Rhinolophus ferrumequinum: one gene and its partner. The protein of the gene in region 1 interacts with the protein of each later gene in a pairwise test. Links are inferred from orthologs where the notes say so. Each region holds a gene or a part of one and is shown on either strand. Other genes may lie near its edges. The genes, in order: ZC2HC1A and CASTOR1.

What was found.
Region 2: the proteins of ZC2HC1A (region 1) and CASTOR1 interact in binary tests that used the Homo sapiens proteins (3 or more experiments, as listed by UniProt). The two-hybrid records come from large-scale screens. The link is inferred for Rhinolophus ferrumequinum from reciprocal best matches to the Homo sapiens genes ZC2HC1A and CASTOR1.

The regions. Positions count from the first base shown.
Region 1 is NC_046297.1:5,762,845-5,770,273, reverse strand, and holds the start of ZC2HC1A (zinc finger C2HC domain-containing protein 1A), read left to right. Parts: upstream 1-4,405; 5' UTR 4,406-4,506; coding exon 4,507-4,522; intron 4,523-7,429.
Region 2 is NC_046308.1:19,490,039-19,498,186, reverse strand, and holds the start of CASTOR1 (cytosolic arginine sensor for mTORC1 subunit 1), read left to right. Parts: upstream 1-4,936; 5' UTR 4,937-5,049; coding exon 5,050-5,162; intron 5,163-5,763; coding exon 5,764-5,834; intron 5,835-6,986; coding exon 6,987-7,174; intron 7,175-7,259; coding exon 7,260-7,392; intron 7,393-7,661; coding exon 7,662-7,788; intron 7,789-8,148. Other genes in the region: TBC1D10A (TBC1 domain family member 10A), read left to right, coding at 15-80, 887-1,076, 1,169-1,323, 1,894-2,370. UniProt on the Homo sapiens protein: Functions as an intracellular arginine sensor within the amino acid-sensing branch of the TORC1 signaling pathway. As a homodimer or a heterodimer with CASTOR2, binds and inhibits the GATOR subcomplex GATOR2 and thereby mTORC1.

The DNA of each region.
Region 1 (7,429 bases):
GAAGACACAATTTGAGGTTCTACTTCTCTCTTTCAAGTGGTTCCACTCATGTAAATGTCTTCCTGAAACCAATTATTTTTATAATCTGTACCACAACATCTAAGTCTTAATCACATAGTGACTACATTGTTCTCTTTTGCTCTGTATCATGCCTTCCCCAGGGCTTTCTCTAGTAGTTGTTAGCTTCCGAGAGACTTCTCTGGAGCTTCCTGTTGGGCCTAGAAGCGTGCTGGGTACATAGGAGTATCTCAGTATTTGGATTCAGAGATTTCCAGTTGAGATTTGAAATTGTGGTGGCAAGGGATGGAGAGATGGGATCATAACTGAAGGTTGAAAACAATTATCCTTTTGCAGCTGGGAATTAGGTGTGAAAGTGGAGGAGAATAAAGGTTCCTTTTGGAATTGGAGTTTCTTTTGGAACTAGAAGAGAAAAAGGTAGAACAATGGCCATCACACTGTGAATGGAGTAGCCTTCCAATCAATGAAGGGGATGAAGTTTGCTTCAGGTTCCTCTATTTTTCCTTCTTTCGGTGTTTTCTTCTCCAGGACAATCACCAAGTTTTCCCTGAACACCTAAATAATTTTTTTTATACTTCAATCTACAAAATAAAGCTAACAAGAGCCAACTCAGAATGTGCTTCCTCAATCTAGAACAACTGTTCAACAGCTCCTTCTCCCACTTTTAAGGGAAATATCCTTCCTTTGTTTTTGATGAAAATTATCATTTTGTTATGATAATTAAATGTATGAGTTCATTTTTATATACTAAATTGTGGTGGGTTATTCCTCTGTGGGCTGTGAAAGGAAAAGATGCCCTCCACAGTGCAGTTGATAAACTGAGTTGGATTCTCACTGAGATTCAAATCTCATTCAGCTGTGCTCTGCAAACAATCTGAATGAGAGCCAAAGGTCTCTAAAAGGGAAATTGATCTTTGTGTAAGAAAAACAGGAGGTTGGAGCTTTGAAACAAGAAGATATGTGTAGCTGACTCAGCCCTTTGGAAGGTGCAGAAAAGATATTGGCTCCAGGGAATGGTGACTGAATGGAAAGCAATGCAAAGTGGAAAGAATTGGAAATATAATGTAAAAAGAAAAGGCTACAATATCTACGTCAGCTACTTGCTAGTCGTGGGATCTGGATTGACTCAGTAAACATCTTTGAACTTTTGCTTTCTTTTTTGTGTAAGGAGGTGGGAAGATCTCTAATTCATATTCATCTATGAATGTTATCATCAGCTAAAAGATAACTTGGCAGTTAAAATAATTATGAACAGATAAGAGCTTAAGAACACATAAGAGAAGAAAGTGAGGTTTCTTCATTTTGGTAACTGGCTAGTAATGAAAGGAGCCTGAAACATTATAAGTATTTGACAGATATTTGTTGAATGAATCCATCAGAAAAATGGAATATGTCAGAGAGGAAGTAAAGTCAGAATAGAGCGCCATGACCAAAGAGACGCTCAGGCATGTAGGAGGCAGAGGAAGGAATTTAGGAAGGCAGATAAGAAACTGTCCTCTTTACCCAGGGGTCAGGACTAGGAAAAAGCTGCAGGAGCCAGGGTACCTGTAGCATAAAAGTGCAGAGAGCCCAATACCTGTAGAGGAGGAAATTAGCAAGCATGGTTTAGAGAATTAAGATTCACAGTAGTGAGTTATACCTTAAAACAACATATTGGAACATTTGGATTTACATTTGAGGCACTTAAAAAGCAAAGTGAAATCCCATGAAATCCTTATAGGTAGAATCAGACAAACCAGAGTTTAAATCCAAGCTGCCATTCACTAGTGGTATAAATATTGGCAAAAAAAATAAAAAACAAAACCCACAAACAAAAAAAGTCTGAGAGATCTAGAAAATGAAGAATCTAATTCTAAAAAAGTGAAATTTATAGTATCTATTTGTAGAATTGTTTTTAAGATTAAATAAGTGAATCTATGAAAAAGACCTAAAACATCACTAATGTGATTTTTTTAAATTTGTTATTATCATTAATATTATTTTGCTGTTAATGTAGCTTTAATGCAAATAAGGTGCGTATCAGCCAAGTCCAAATTTGTCTTGACTTCAGTTCAAGAACTTGTAATTTGTAAAGTAAATTGCCTCTCCATTTTTGGGGTTTCTATATGTGCTTTTTTCCCTCCTTAGTGCTCTTTTTAAAAATCCCCTCTTACCCCAGTTCTAACTTAGTCCCAGCAACACTGAGGGAAAACGCCCTTTCCACACTCGGTCCCGGTGGCTAAGTCAGCCAGGATCTCCTGTCTCAGAGGAGCGGAACAACCAGAGCAGAACAACCAGAGCAGAACCAGGGGAAGGGCAAGAGACCACACAGGCATGGCTGAAGTTTTTCTTAAATAACTGTAGATAAGAGATGACCCATACCACATTCCAGTGCACTTAGAACACCTTCCCACTAATATCTGATGTCCCCCTCAAGTGTTTGTTTACTTGTTTATAACATCCTCATTTGAATGGAGAGTAGGACTCTCGCTTCCTAAAGGCTACTGTAAGATGCATGCTGTTTGTAAGAGTTATACTTTTAACAGTGAACAAAGTTAGATATAACGTCAAGACTTTGCAGTTGAACAGGGTAATGAGAAAAGTAACGTTAAGATTTGTTATGGAAGTTATATTAACGTTGATAAATTGCTGGTAGTTATACTAGAGTTAACAAACAATAGGGCTTGCTTTTCACTACATCAAATTGTCAAAGAAATTTAGTTCCCGTGAACTCACTTAGACTGTTAAGCAAAGGTTTTAGCTAGTTTTGAAGTTATCTTTGTCAACAAAAGGTTGCTGCCCATGTCAACAGGTGGCCGCAATCTGGGGTGCATTAAAAGGAGAAACTTTATTCAGAGGAACAAGTCGCAAACCGGAGAAATGCAGCCTCCACTGTAAATGGAAACTAGCCCCCCCAGAGACAAGCGAGAGGCTGCTTATATAAAGTGCCTGCCCCAATCCCTGATTGGTCCATTTTAATGCAAATGAGGAATCCAAATTTGCAGTTTGATTGGTCCATATAGCACTGTCCTGATTGGTTAAAATTGCAGGTCGTTATGGAGCAGCTGTGATTGATCAGTAAAGATGCAAATACAATACAGGTGAACAGCTACCGTTGAAGAGGTGGCTTCTCCCCAATACTAAGCTTGGGAGACCTTCATAAACAAGTCTAGACTCCAATTATGAATTTGGGCCCAGCTAACCACAAGGGCTAATCACAAGGCTTCCTTTTGTGTTTGTTTTTTTTAATTTTATTGGGGGACAGTGTGTTTCTCCAGGGCCCATCAGCTCCAAGGTGTTATCTTTATATCTAGCTGGGGAGGACGCAGCTCAGCTCCAAGTCCAGTTAAATCTTCATTTTCAATCTTTAGTTGCAGGGGGTGTGGCCCACCCTCCCATGCGGGAATTGAACCGGCCACCTTGTAGTTGAGAACTTGCCCTCTAACCAACTGAGCCATCCGGCCACCCCTCCAGAAGCTCAGCCGCAGCTGGTTGTTTTCAATCTAGCTGTGGAGGGCGCAGCTCACTGGCCCATGTGGGAATCGAACCAGCAACCTTGTCGTTCAGAGCTCATGGTCTAACAAACTGAGCCATCCGGCAGCCCCACCGCATCCTTTTTGGCAGATAGAGTCCTTTTGGGGTCCACACCTTCATCCCAATGAGTTAGGACTCTAACCGAAACAGGCCTCATCCGGTCATGTGTAGGTGAATTCCGCCCTGTAGCTCCCTGACCAAACTTAGGTTTGGGGATAACCTCATAGAAGGGGAGGCTGGCAGGCTGTTCGAGGTCAAGGGTGATACAGTAGACAGCCAAGGTAACCCTCTGGTAGATGAAGATGACGGAGGCCTGCGTTTCCCTCACGTTTGGCCCCAGCTCTCATGCTGAGGAAACCGTTTTCATGTGCTCCGGGCAATCTCAGTTCCACAGTCCCAAACAGAAAGTGTGATTTCTGGGAGGAAACGGTGGTTTAACTCCGAAAGCTGCCACCGTACAATCTAGGGAATACACTCAGGTCAGGTCACGTGACCCACGGGCGCAAAATGGAGAGTGTGCCACAGACAAGTGTGCAGGACTTGCTGCTGTTTTGCTTGTTGGCTTAAATAGCCCTGAGGCAGAGACGGCCCCACGGAGAAGAATTGCACGGACTGCTTGAGGGACTGGCGATGCGGAGCCCCTGAGGTGCTGAGCTAGTCTGAACAGGATCATAAGGTGTGAGGCCAACAAGGCCGCACTGGAACAAAGGCGCTGTCGGGCGGCAGGAGGCCCTCGTAGCGCTGGGGTTTACCGGGAGGAGCGCCGCGAACGCTCGCAGCCAGGAGGCAGGGCGCCTGCGGCGACTGGGGACGCGCCTCCCAGGCCCCACCCCTCCGAAGCCCCGCCCGCGTCGTGTCGGCCAATAGGAGCCCGGGATGTTAGCGGGTGGGAGGTGCGGTCGGGTTGCCACAGCCAGAGCTGGGCGGTGGCGGGTGCTGCTGGAAGAGTCTCGCAGATTCTGAGTAGGTGGCGCGATGGAGGGACTGGAAGGTGAGGAGGTGAAGGGATGCGGGCCGGACAACTGGAGCAGGCCCGTAGCAGTTATGGGGCCCTCGACACCGGTACTAGGCAGGCGATGGCAGCTCCGGAGCCGAACCACGCGGTGCCTCCGGAGGCCCCGGTCGGCGGGAGCCGGACAGCCCCCGACGCGGTGGGGCCAGTGATCCTCAGGCGGGGATCCCCGCCTAGGACGGTCTTCGGCTGAGGTTTGCCGCCCGGATCCTGATATTGCCTCTGGCACACGCCTGCAAGTCCCTCGCGACCATATTCAGGTCTTGCTAGATTCCTGAGCGTCCTATCACAGCTTCTGGCCAGATTTGATTTTCCTTACAAAGTGGACTCTCCATTAATGTCCGCGGCCTCCCCACCTTCAGTGTTTGCTGGGGCCTTAGGGTGTGTCTCCAACCTCGAGCTTCCCACACTTTCCTTGGCCAGTTTCCCTATGTAACCGTTTTTCCATTTCTACAGCATCTTCTGTCGGAAGGATGCCAAGAGCGCCTTCCAAGGAAGTGTCACTGACCAGCTCTAGAGCCGGGACAATAGATTAACAGGAGGATTTAAGGGCTTATTTACCACCACTGTGTAAGGAAGAGCCAGCATTGATTCCTTATCTTTCGGTTTATCCTTCTGCTGTAACCATGACTCCAGATTTTGCTTTGTTCCCAGGCTTTTTCCTTTTCTCTGTTCTCTGTGCGCATTTTATTCTGTGTAATAGAGCATTCGACCAAAAACAACAAAGGAAAAAATACCCAACTAGCCTTGGCATCAACAGTTTCAGATTCTTTTTCAAGTTATGGTTACTCCTTCGATGAAGAATAAGCCTGCAGAATTGAAAGATCTATTGTCTCAATTTAGCTGTTTCCCCCCTCCTAATTTACATAGATTCAGGTGGAATTTAGAATAAGCAGAGGCATTGAGCCACTAGACGTTATTGCATGCTAGAGAATAAATTATTTCAGGTTGTGTTATGAAGTGAAAAGTAGTAACTGGTAACTTTTTGCAGTGACCTAAGCTCACCAAAAAGCCAATAGAATAATGAGCATGATAGTATTTCATGCTTTTGTGCCGAGGTGAAGTTCTCATTAGTTAACGCCTTGAAGATTATAGATAATCAAGAATTCTGATACTTTTCTATTTGTGGGCAGCTGCACTTTTTATGACACGTGGGTCTTGTTTTTTTTGCTTATTTAATGTATTTTAGGCACATCATTCAAGTTTCTATGAAATAAGAATTGTAATGATAGTAATTCTACTTTCAAGATAGTTTTGTTTAGAAGACTCCTGGAAGCGGCTTTTTTTTTTTTTTTTTTTTAATCTTTGAAACGTGGTATTATAGCATAGTGGGTAGGAGCATGGGTTCTGGAATTCTCCTAAGGTTATCATAATACACACAAAGTGCTTTACAACACTCTCTGCAGATTTGTATTCAACGTTTGTAACTAAGGCAGAGATCTTCATTTGATTTTTTCACTTACGTATGTTAAGCACCCAAAACAGTGTCTGACACAAACTAGGTACTCAATAGATATTTCTTGTTAGATAAATGACTTTATTTGTAATGGGCACTATTCTTGGCTCTGGGGATGCAGCAACAAATAAAAAAATCAAAGCCCTGCTCTCATTGAGCCTATGTTTTAGTGAAGTTTATATTTTAGCAGTGCCAAGAGATTACTATTGAAATATTACTAAGAATGCTTTTTAAAATGTAATGGAAACCTATTACAATACTCAATTACATGGGTGGAGAAATACATGAATTCTGATGTAATGTGGTATGTTCTGATGGACATGTTTTATGGGCCCAGCTTGTGATGCAGCATGTTAAACAGTACTTGCTCTTTACTCTTCGTTTGATTTTTTCTTTTTTTGTTAACAAGGTGAGTTGCTGTCATTAACTATATGTTTAATTGTAATGAATTAGGTTAACATTTTCCTTTTTGGAGAGCAAAACAACTGAATATTGGTAATTTCAAGTAGTTTAATAAAAGCTCAGAGTTTTTTTGTTGAAGTTAGGACAGTGCCTTTCTTTCTTTTTCCTCTTTTAAAATCAGTCCCTGTTAAGTCAGTTTGCAAAGATTAAAACTCTGAGCCTTAAATTTACCATTTAGTAATTCATCTGTGATTTTATTTAATAAACATTGGTACAATGATAGATAACTTTTTTGCCCTGTTGGAAGTTCAAGTCCAGTACTTTGAAGGTATCCAATAAACATTATTATCTCAGTATCCAGTAGAAAATCTTCAGGAGTTTGCTTAACATGTCGTAGTAGTTGAGCAAATATTGCACCGTTTGGCATTACACTCATGTTTCTAGTTGAAAATGGTTACCAGGTTAATCTTGATTGTAAAACTAGAAAGTATATAAACCCCTGAAAAATTCTATTGAAGGTTATCATACTCTTTCTTACAACTTTATTTCCATGTAGCTCTTATGTCACTTATATTATTTTTGGTCTTCCTGGACCTTTATGCTTCCTGGATAGTCAAGAAATGAGCTATTAGGCTAAACACTGTATTTCAAAAGCAAATGATTGCTTATGAATTTGTATAATCTGTATCTGAACACCTTGCATTGTGTGGGTAATTAGAGCAAAGCCTTTAATTTCTTTACACCTAAAGCTATATGTATATAGCTTTATAGGCCTATAGGTGTATCTAAGGGCAATGGAAGTAGTTGTAGACTTGGGAGAGTTCTAATCTCTCTTAAGATTTTCATCTGTAAAATGAGAGGTGATAAACCCTAAGGAGATTTTGTCCAGTGTTTGTGTGTGTGTAGGAGTACATAGGAATGTGTGTGTGTGTGTGTGTGTGTGTGTGTGTGTGTATGGCATTGACGTTCCTTTTATAACACCATAATAAGTGGTTATTAACAATTGTGACAAACCATCAGGCTGCCCA
Region 2 (8,148 bases), on another chromosome or scaffold:
TCTCTCGCCCACAGCAAGCCTTTTGGTGCCTGGTGCAGATCTGTGAGAAGTACCTGCCCGGCTACTACAGTGAGAAACTGGTGAGTGCTTGCTGGGCCCCGGACCCGGCCTGGGACCTCCCCCAGGCTGGAAACCGTTTGCGGCCTCTCCAGTCCTGTCGCTCCACAGGCAGTCCTGCTCTCACTGGAAACCTTCCCAGCCTCCTGTTGCTTTCAGGCTGAAGTCCCCACGCCTGCCAGGGTCAGGTTTCCCAGGCTCCAGCGTCATCAGTTCTGCTCTTGCCTCCATCTCAGCCTCCAGCCATCTGGCCATTCGGAAGATCTCCGTTCCTCCAGAACACCCAGTTCCTCCCTGCCCTGGCCTTGACATAGGCTTACACCTCTGCCCCTGTCGTCCCCTTCCTTCCTCTGATAGCTCCTCCTTTCCCTCCTCTTTCTGCCCTCAGGGAGCTTCCACCTGTCAGGGTCTAGTGGGGCACAGGTGAGGGAAGTAGGTGACAGAGGCACCTGTCATCCCTGCCACGCTTGGCCTTTCCACAGCCAGCAGGATCTGTTCTGTGTGCTGAAGGCCTACACGCTCTACCAACCTGAGGAGGGACCCTGACAGGTGGAATCTCCAGCACGTGCTCATCCAGTGTTCCTGTTCTTGCCATGTTCTGGGCACTTAGTTCCCCCCCACCCCCATCCCCAGTCTTTTTGCTCCTGTGACTCATGTCTGTCCGCCCCTTTTCACTACATGCTCACGAGGAGGACATGCTGTCTGCTCATCCTTGTATCCCAGCGCCCAGCACAAGGCCGGCCGCCTGCCTGGTGCTGGGGGCCAGGGCGTGCATAGTCCGTCTCCTGGCTGCTGCTGGCCCATGGTCATGGCCTCACTGTCCCCCCAGGAGGCGATCCAGCTGGATGGGGAGATCCTCTTCTCGCTGCTGCAGAAGGTGTCCCCCGTGGCCCACAAGCACCTCAGCTGGCAGAAGATCGACCCGCTGCTCTACATGACCGAGTGGTTCATGTGCGCGTTCACCCGTACCCTGCCCTGGAGCTCCGTGCTGCGCGTCTGGGACATGTTCTTCTGCGAAGGTACCAGGCTGAGCTCGCGGAGCACCCCTGCCCCAAGCCCAGCCCACAGGAGCAACTCCCTAAAGGCCCCCTTGCGCTCCTTCCCCATTCAGGAGTCAAGATCATCTTCCGGGTGGGGTTGGTGCTGCTGAAGCACGCGCTGGGCTCCCCCGAGAAGCTCAAGGCCTGCCAGGGCCAGTACGAGACTATCGAGCGGCTGCGGAGCCTCAGCCCCAAGATCATGCAGGAGGCTTTCCTGGTCCAGGAGGTGCGGCCCACCCCTTCCCCTCAGCACCCGGAGGGAGGCGGGGACATGGGGGCCCTTTGCAGGGGAGCCTGGTATCCCTCTGCCCCTGAGCGGGAGTCGCTGGTGCCAGGCCCAGTGCACAGCAGCCCAGGATGGTGGGGGCGGACCTCATCCCGCTGTGAATAAGGGGGCGTAGAGAGGCCTAGGTCTGTGGGGCCTTCCCTGTTCTGAACCACTCGGGAATGAGAGGGAGCTGCAACCAGTCACCCCCTCTTCCTCCCTGGTACCACATCCACGGCCTTGGCTTTATTTTCCCTTTTTTCTTTTGTGGATTTTTGTCTCTCAGGGGCTATAATTAGGTAACACACCGTTAGGCAAGCGGAGCCATGCGGCACGGGCAGCTTGAGGCAGTGGGTCTCAGGGCCTGGCTCACCTGTACTCGACTCTGGCCTGACGACCACCTCAGGGACCAGACCTTCATTCAACCTTTAGTAACAGGATGGGGGAGCCTGAGGCAGAGCAGCGGCCCTGGCTGGGAGGCAGAGGGGGAGGTTCTTCCTTATGCCCACCTGTCTGTCGTCGCCCCCACAGGTGATAGAGCTGCCAGTGACAGAGCGCCAGATTGAGCGTGAGCATCTCATCCAGCTGCGGCGCTGGCAGGAGACCCGGGGTGAGCTGCAGTGCCGCTCCCCGCCCAGGCTGCATGGCGCTAAGGCCATCCTGGAGGCAGAGCCAGGCCCCCGGCCCACCCTGCAACCTTCACCGTCCATCCGCCTGCCCCCAGATGCCCCCCTCCCTGGCTCCAAAGGCAAACCCAAGCCACCCAAGGAGATCCAGAAGAAGCAGCAGAAGCAGGCGAAGGCGAGTGGGCAGCTGGACAAAACTCCAACCCCAAGTCAAGCCAAGGTGGTGCCCGCTGCGGGGGATGCACATCCCCCACAGGATTTGCCCCCAAAGGACCCAGTCCACCAGGACCCAGGCCCCCAGGACTCAGCTCCCCAGGATTCAGCCCACCACCACTCCCACGAGAGCCTGACATCCCAGGAGAGTGAGGACACCTACTTGTAACCCCGGCAGCTCAGGCCTCCAGAGCGGGGTCTCAACACACACATGGTTCACAGACTGACATTCCAGGGCCTGCCTACCCTCGGGGGGGCGCTTGGGGGGCCCGGCTGCCTGGCCGCTGGGCGTAGAGTCTGGCGGGCCCAGCACAGATTCTGCCTGAGCCTCCTTATTTATTATCTCCAGAATGGAGCTTGGGCCGGCCCTGCGGGGGCATGCAGAAGTGAGGGCCTCACTCAGGCCCCTCCTCCTGGGGGGTTGCTCCCCAGGGCTAGGGCACTGGCATGAGGGGAGAGGGTGGGGTAAAGGGTGGGGTGCTCTTTGTGTAAATAGAAACATGGTTTTGTACAGAAATAAACAGGCTTGAGTAGAGAGCTGGTGTGCAGCTAGGAACTGGGAAGGGAGTGCCACCCCCGGTGCCTGAGCCTCTCTGAGAAGTATCCTTGCCAGGGGGGATGTCAAGTCCAGGGCCAGCCCCTGTTCCCCTCACTCCATCCCTGTGCCCCGTGCCCACCATCTGCCATGGGTAAGGGTCACCAGGGCCGGAGCCCAGTGCTGGGGCAAAGCAGGGTCTGCGCCAGCGGCAGCCTTGATCCCACTCGTCACTGATGGGGAGGAGCTCTTTAAGGGTCTTCCTCCTCAAGGCCTGGCCTGGATGCCACTTTGGACCCCAGTAAGGTTCTGAGTGTTCATTCTGGGTTGGGTGCTGGTGCCAGGGTGGGGAGACCACGAATGCTCTCACATGTTCAGCCCAGGAGGAGAAGCGTGAGAGGAGAAGTCCGGGTCTTTGATAGAAGGCCGCCTGTCATTTACTGAGCACTTAACGTGCCACATGGGACTGGTTGTGTCACCAGCTGATTGGGTACGCTCTGTTATTATCCCCATTTGACAGATGAAGAAACAGGCGCTGAGTGGGAAAGGTGAAGCTGGTGCAAATTTGCACCCAGAGCCCCTCAGCTACCTCTCCCGACCAGGGTGCCAGGTGACTGTCATTGAGGGTCCAGGCAGGCGCTATGGTCACAACCTGATGACTGGCGAGGGTACGGACAGAGTGTCCCTGGGAGAGGACCCCTCCCTTCTGCTGAGGAAGCAGCTTTTCCAGTCAAACAATAGTGGCTGTTCCTGGCAGGCCACCAAGCTGGGCTGTGCCATGGGGGGAGGGGACAGGAGAGGGAGGAGTAGAGTCTCCCTAGGAATTTTCAGGCATCCCAAAGCCTTCAGCCTGGGACACCTTGTCCTGGTACAGCTGGGGATACTGAGGCCTGAGGAGGTCAAAGTTCACATAAGCCTGTCCAGGCCATCCACTTCCTACCTCCCAGCCCTCCCTCCTGTGGTTTCCCATCCCAACTGTATCATTGATAATTGAGGGGCTCAGCCTTTGACGGTCCCCTCCCCCTGACCCTCCAGGGGACAGCCAGGATGTGGCAGCTGCACAGTGTTCCACATGAACCCTCTGAGCCGGAGTCCAGTGGGGGAAGGCACTGCCCCGTATCCACCCACCTACAGTGGAGGCTCCTAAGCAGGCAGGAGGCCTGTGCAGGCCTGCTTTAACCTGCTCCGTTCAAAGCCGCAGATCTGAAGCTTGAGAATGTGTTGCCCAGACAAGTGTCCCCCAGAGCATGCTCGGTCTTGCTACAGGGGCAGCCTCGGTGTGCGGATGGCTGCTCAGCCTTGGGGTCTTCAACCTGAGGAGGCCTGAGCAGAACCCAGTCCCCACGTTGAAACGAGCCCAAGTTGGTCCTAACAAGCCTCAGATCTGGGGCATCTGCCAGCACTGGGGGCCTCCTTGGGCATGAAGCAAGTTTAGATGTGCTCAGGCCGACTGGGTTCTACTAATGGCCGCAGGCTTTGGGAGGCCTCAGCAGGGCTCAGTTCTCAGGTCTGAGATCTGACTACCCTGAAGTCTGGGCCTTGGGCATTCCTGGCCCAAGCACTTAGTTTTGAGGGGCCGCCTTAGGCCTGACCACCTTCACGGCCCTACCCAACAGTAAGTTGCTCAGACAGAGGTGGATGGGGCCCTTCCTATCTCTGTGACCCTAGTGGGGAGTCTTCTATGAGAGGAAGGAGAAAGGCACCAGGATACTTTATTGGAAGAGAATCACAGGGTTGCCAGGGCTGCAGAGCGCACCCCTACCCCTTCATGCCCCAGCGGTTTGGGGGCAACACTCTGGTCCCAGCTGAGCCCCGGTTCACCTCATGGCCCTTCCAAAGCCTCAACGACCTCAATCATAAGGCCCAGATGGGGGCCCAAAGGACGTAACCCCACATTTCACGCAAGCCTCCCATCCCAGCCTCGACCGGTGGAATGGGCGGAGCCCGGAGAGGGGGCGCGGCCCGGCCGGGTCTGGAGGACTCGACCGGGATGGGGTCAGCTGGTGATTCCCTAAACTAAACCAATGTTAAAGGGGCGGAGTCATCCGGGGCGGGGCTCGGTGGACTAGAGGAGCTGGGTGAGGCTCTGGCGTTAGAAGGAGGCGTGGCCACCCCGGATAGGCCGCGCGTCCCTCAGGGCGTGGCCGTCAGGGAGCAGGACGCGGCGAGGGACTGGGCGGGTTCGGGGAGTAGCGGGCGGCGTGGAAGCGGCCGCGGAGCGGCTCCTTTAAGCCTCCGGCGCCGCCTCCCCCGCCCCGCCCCCGGCGCGGCCTGGGTCTGGTTGGCGGCGGGGTCCGGTCCGCGCCGACCGCGATGGAGCTGCACATCCTAGAGCACCGGGTGCGGGTGCTGAGCCTCGCCCGCCCCGGTCTTTGGCTGTACACGCACCCACTTATCAAGCTGCTATTCCTGCCCCGCCGAAGCCGGTGCGCGCCCGGGTTCCGGGGCACAGATTGGGGTGGGCTCCACTGTCGCTTCGGTACGGGGTCGGGAGATTGTAGAGTCGCCACGAGGCGAGCTGGGGCAAGCGGGAGCGGGCGGGGAGTGCTCTTCCACCCCACCCCCCGGCCGCCATCCGGCCTGTGCTTACGCTCCCTGGGACCGCCGCCTATCCGGGGCCAGTTAAGGCGCAAACAGCCGTGGGTGTGCAATGCTTAATTTCGAGTGGTGTCAAATGGGGTGGGGGTATTCCTTCCTGGCGACTGCGAAGAGTTTCTTCCAGACGCCTCCCATCGGGTCAGAGGGGCCGGTCTAGGGGACCCAAGGTCCGACGCCCCGGGGCTATCGCTGCGGGTGAGCCTCTCCTCCCTCCTGGAATGGAGGGGCGGGGGGCTCCTGCGAAGTTCAGGAGGCGGAAAACAGTTCGCTATTCAGAAGTTGGGTCCCACACCCCACGGCCATTGGGAGAAAATTGAGGCTTGAGGGGGCTGGGAGGAGCCCGGCGTGGGTCTTTAGGGGCGGATGGAGCGAAGTCTACCTGCCCCCTCTGCCCAACCCAGACTGAAGATTCCCCCCACCCCCAACCAGGTGCAAGTTCTTCAGCTTGACGGAGACTCCCGAGGATTACACGCTCATGGTGGACGAGGAGGGCTTCAAAGGTGGGGGCTGGGCTAGGGAGGGATGTCGCGCTCCCCTCTTTGGGGAATTCTCACCAGATGCTGGGGTCCAGTGTCCCAAGAGCTGAAGCCTCGAAGGCAGTTTGATCTGGGTTCTTACCTGACTCCGCTACTCACTGGCTGTGTGACCTTGAGCAAGTCACTTCCCCTCTCTGAGCTGTTGTTTCCTCTTATGTAAAATGGGTTCTGATTTAATAGGGTCCCATAAGGGCTTTATAAATGGGCTGTGTGTGAGGGCCACTTAGCAGCCCCAGACCAGCAGTAGGCCCTCAATTATGCTTGTTGGCAAGAATCAGGGGTTCCTATGGCTGTTATATCTCCCTGGCCATTATTTCCCCCTGGACTTCCCTCCCTGGTTCTGGTCATTCCCTCCGGGGCTGGTCTGGAAACTCCAGGAGTCTTAGGGTTGGGGAAGGAATGCAGGAGCAGGCAGCCAGCCCAGGGCAGGGTCCTGAGGGGCTTATGTTTGAGCAATTAGCAGCCACCTTGGCCCAGGTCCCCTGTTCTGGACTGGACGCCAGCCTGGTCCTTCTGGCCCCATGGAGCTGACATCTGGCTCCCACTCCTTCCAGCCTGACCCATCTTCACAGGCCTGGAGTCTCAGGCCAGCCACCGGGAGCTTGGTCCATCACCCACTGCACTGCTTCAGGCCTTAGTTTCCCTGTTTGTACTGCAGCCAAGTTTGGTTTAGTTAAGGGGAAAGGACACCCCCCAGCCAATCCATTCTGGTGGCGCCCCCTCGTGGTGTCACGTGGTATAAAGCTTCTGTTAACCCACAGAACACTGCAATGAGGTACATACAGTCATCCCATTTTACAGATGAGGAAACTGAGACTGAATCATTTGCACCAGGTCAACAGCAAGTAAAAGGTGAAGCTGGGATTTGAACTCAGGTCTGTCTGAGTCTGGAGCTCAGATCTCAACTGGAAGGTTTCAATCCCTGGCAGGACAGAAGCTGGAGCACATCTCAGTCCTTGCATACACGCAGGTGTCGAGAGCAGAACTTGTAGAAGGGAGATAGCCCCAGTCTCCAGACCTGACCTTACCTTGGTAGAGCACTTCAAGGCTCAGGTAGGGAAACGGGCAGGGGCCAGCCCTGCAGGCTTTGACTGGTCATGTGCCCTGTGCCCACAGAGCTGCCCCCATCCGAGTTCCTGCAAGTGGCTGAGGCCACATGGCTGGTGATGAACGTATCATCCCACAGCGGCACAGCAGTGCAAGCTGCTGGGGTCACCAAGATCGCCCGCTCCGTCATTGCACCGCTGGCCGAGCACCACGTATCTGTGCTCATGCTGTCCACTTACCAGACAGACTTCATCCTGGTGAGTTTCCCACGGGGCCGCTGTCAGGCAGGGTGGGCATGGGTGCCCGGGGACTCATGTGATGTGCCATGTCCCTGCGGCCCAGGTGCGGGAGCAGGACCTGTCTGTGGTGATTCACACGCTGGCCCAGGAGTTCGACATTTATCGAGAGGTGGGCGGGGAGCCTGTGCCTGTTGCCAGGGATGATTCCAGCAATGGCTTTCCCCGAGCTCAGCATGGTGAGGGTGCCCTCTGACACCAAGACCTGGGTGGGGAGTGGGGGCTCCTGTTCTCACTGGGGCCCTTTGCTTGTGTGGGTGAGTCTGTGTGTAGGGGGAGACTAGCTGACAATGATTGCTTCACAAGACCGGGAGGTGAGGCTGGGAAAATCAAGGCAGGTTCCTGTAGAGGACTGTACACCCAGCCCAGGCCCCTCCCTGGCCGGCCACCAGGGGGCACCCCAGCCCATAGTCCTGTTTTCACCCTCCACCTCCGGATTCCTCCCTAGCAGGGCCCAGCCCCACGGTGCATCCCATTCAGAGCCCGCAGAACCGTTTTTGTGTCCTTACGCTGGACCCTGAGACGCTACCAGCCATTGCCACCACCCTCATCGATGTCCTCTTCTACTCCCACAGGTGGGCCTCATTTGTACTTAGTCTCGTCCTCACATTATTGTTCCCTATGGTCTGTCCCACCACCTTCTACCTGTCCCTGGGTTCTGCACCTCTGTGCCCTGTTCTGTGTCTGGGTTCCCAGCAGCCTGAGATGCCCACATGCCCTTCACTGATGTTTAGGAAAAGTCCCAATGCTGCAGCTGGAGCCCTCTCCTGGAGTGTGGGAGAAGCCACCCCCAAGCCACCCCCAAGCCGTGACCCGGTCAGGCCCCCTGGCCCTGGGGTCCTGCGTCTTTAGCACAGGCAGCATTCATCGTCCTTCTCCCCCATCCCTACCCAGTGCCATCAGGATATTAGGGCCCTCTGACAGGGAAGGAAAGT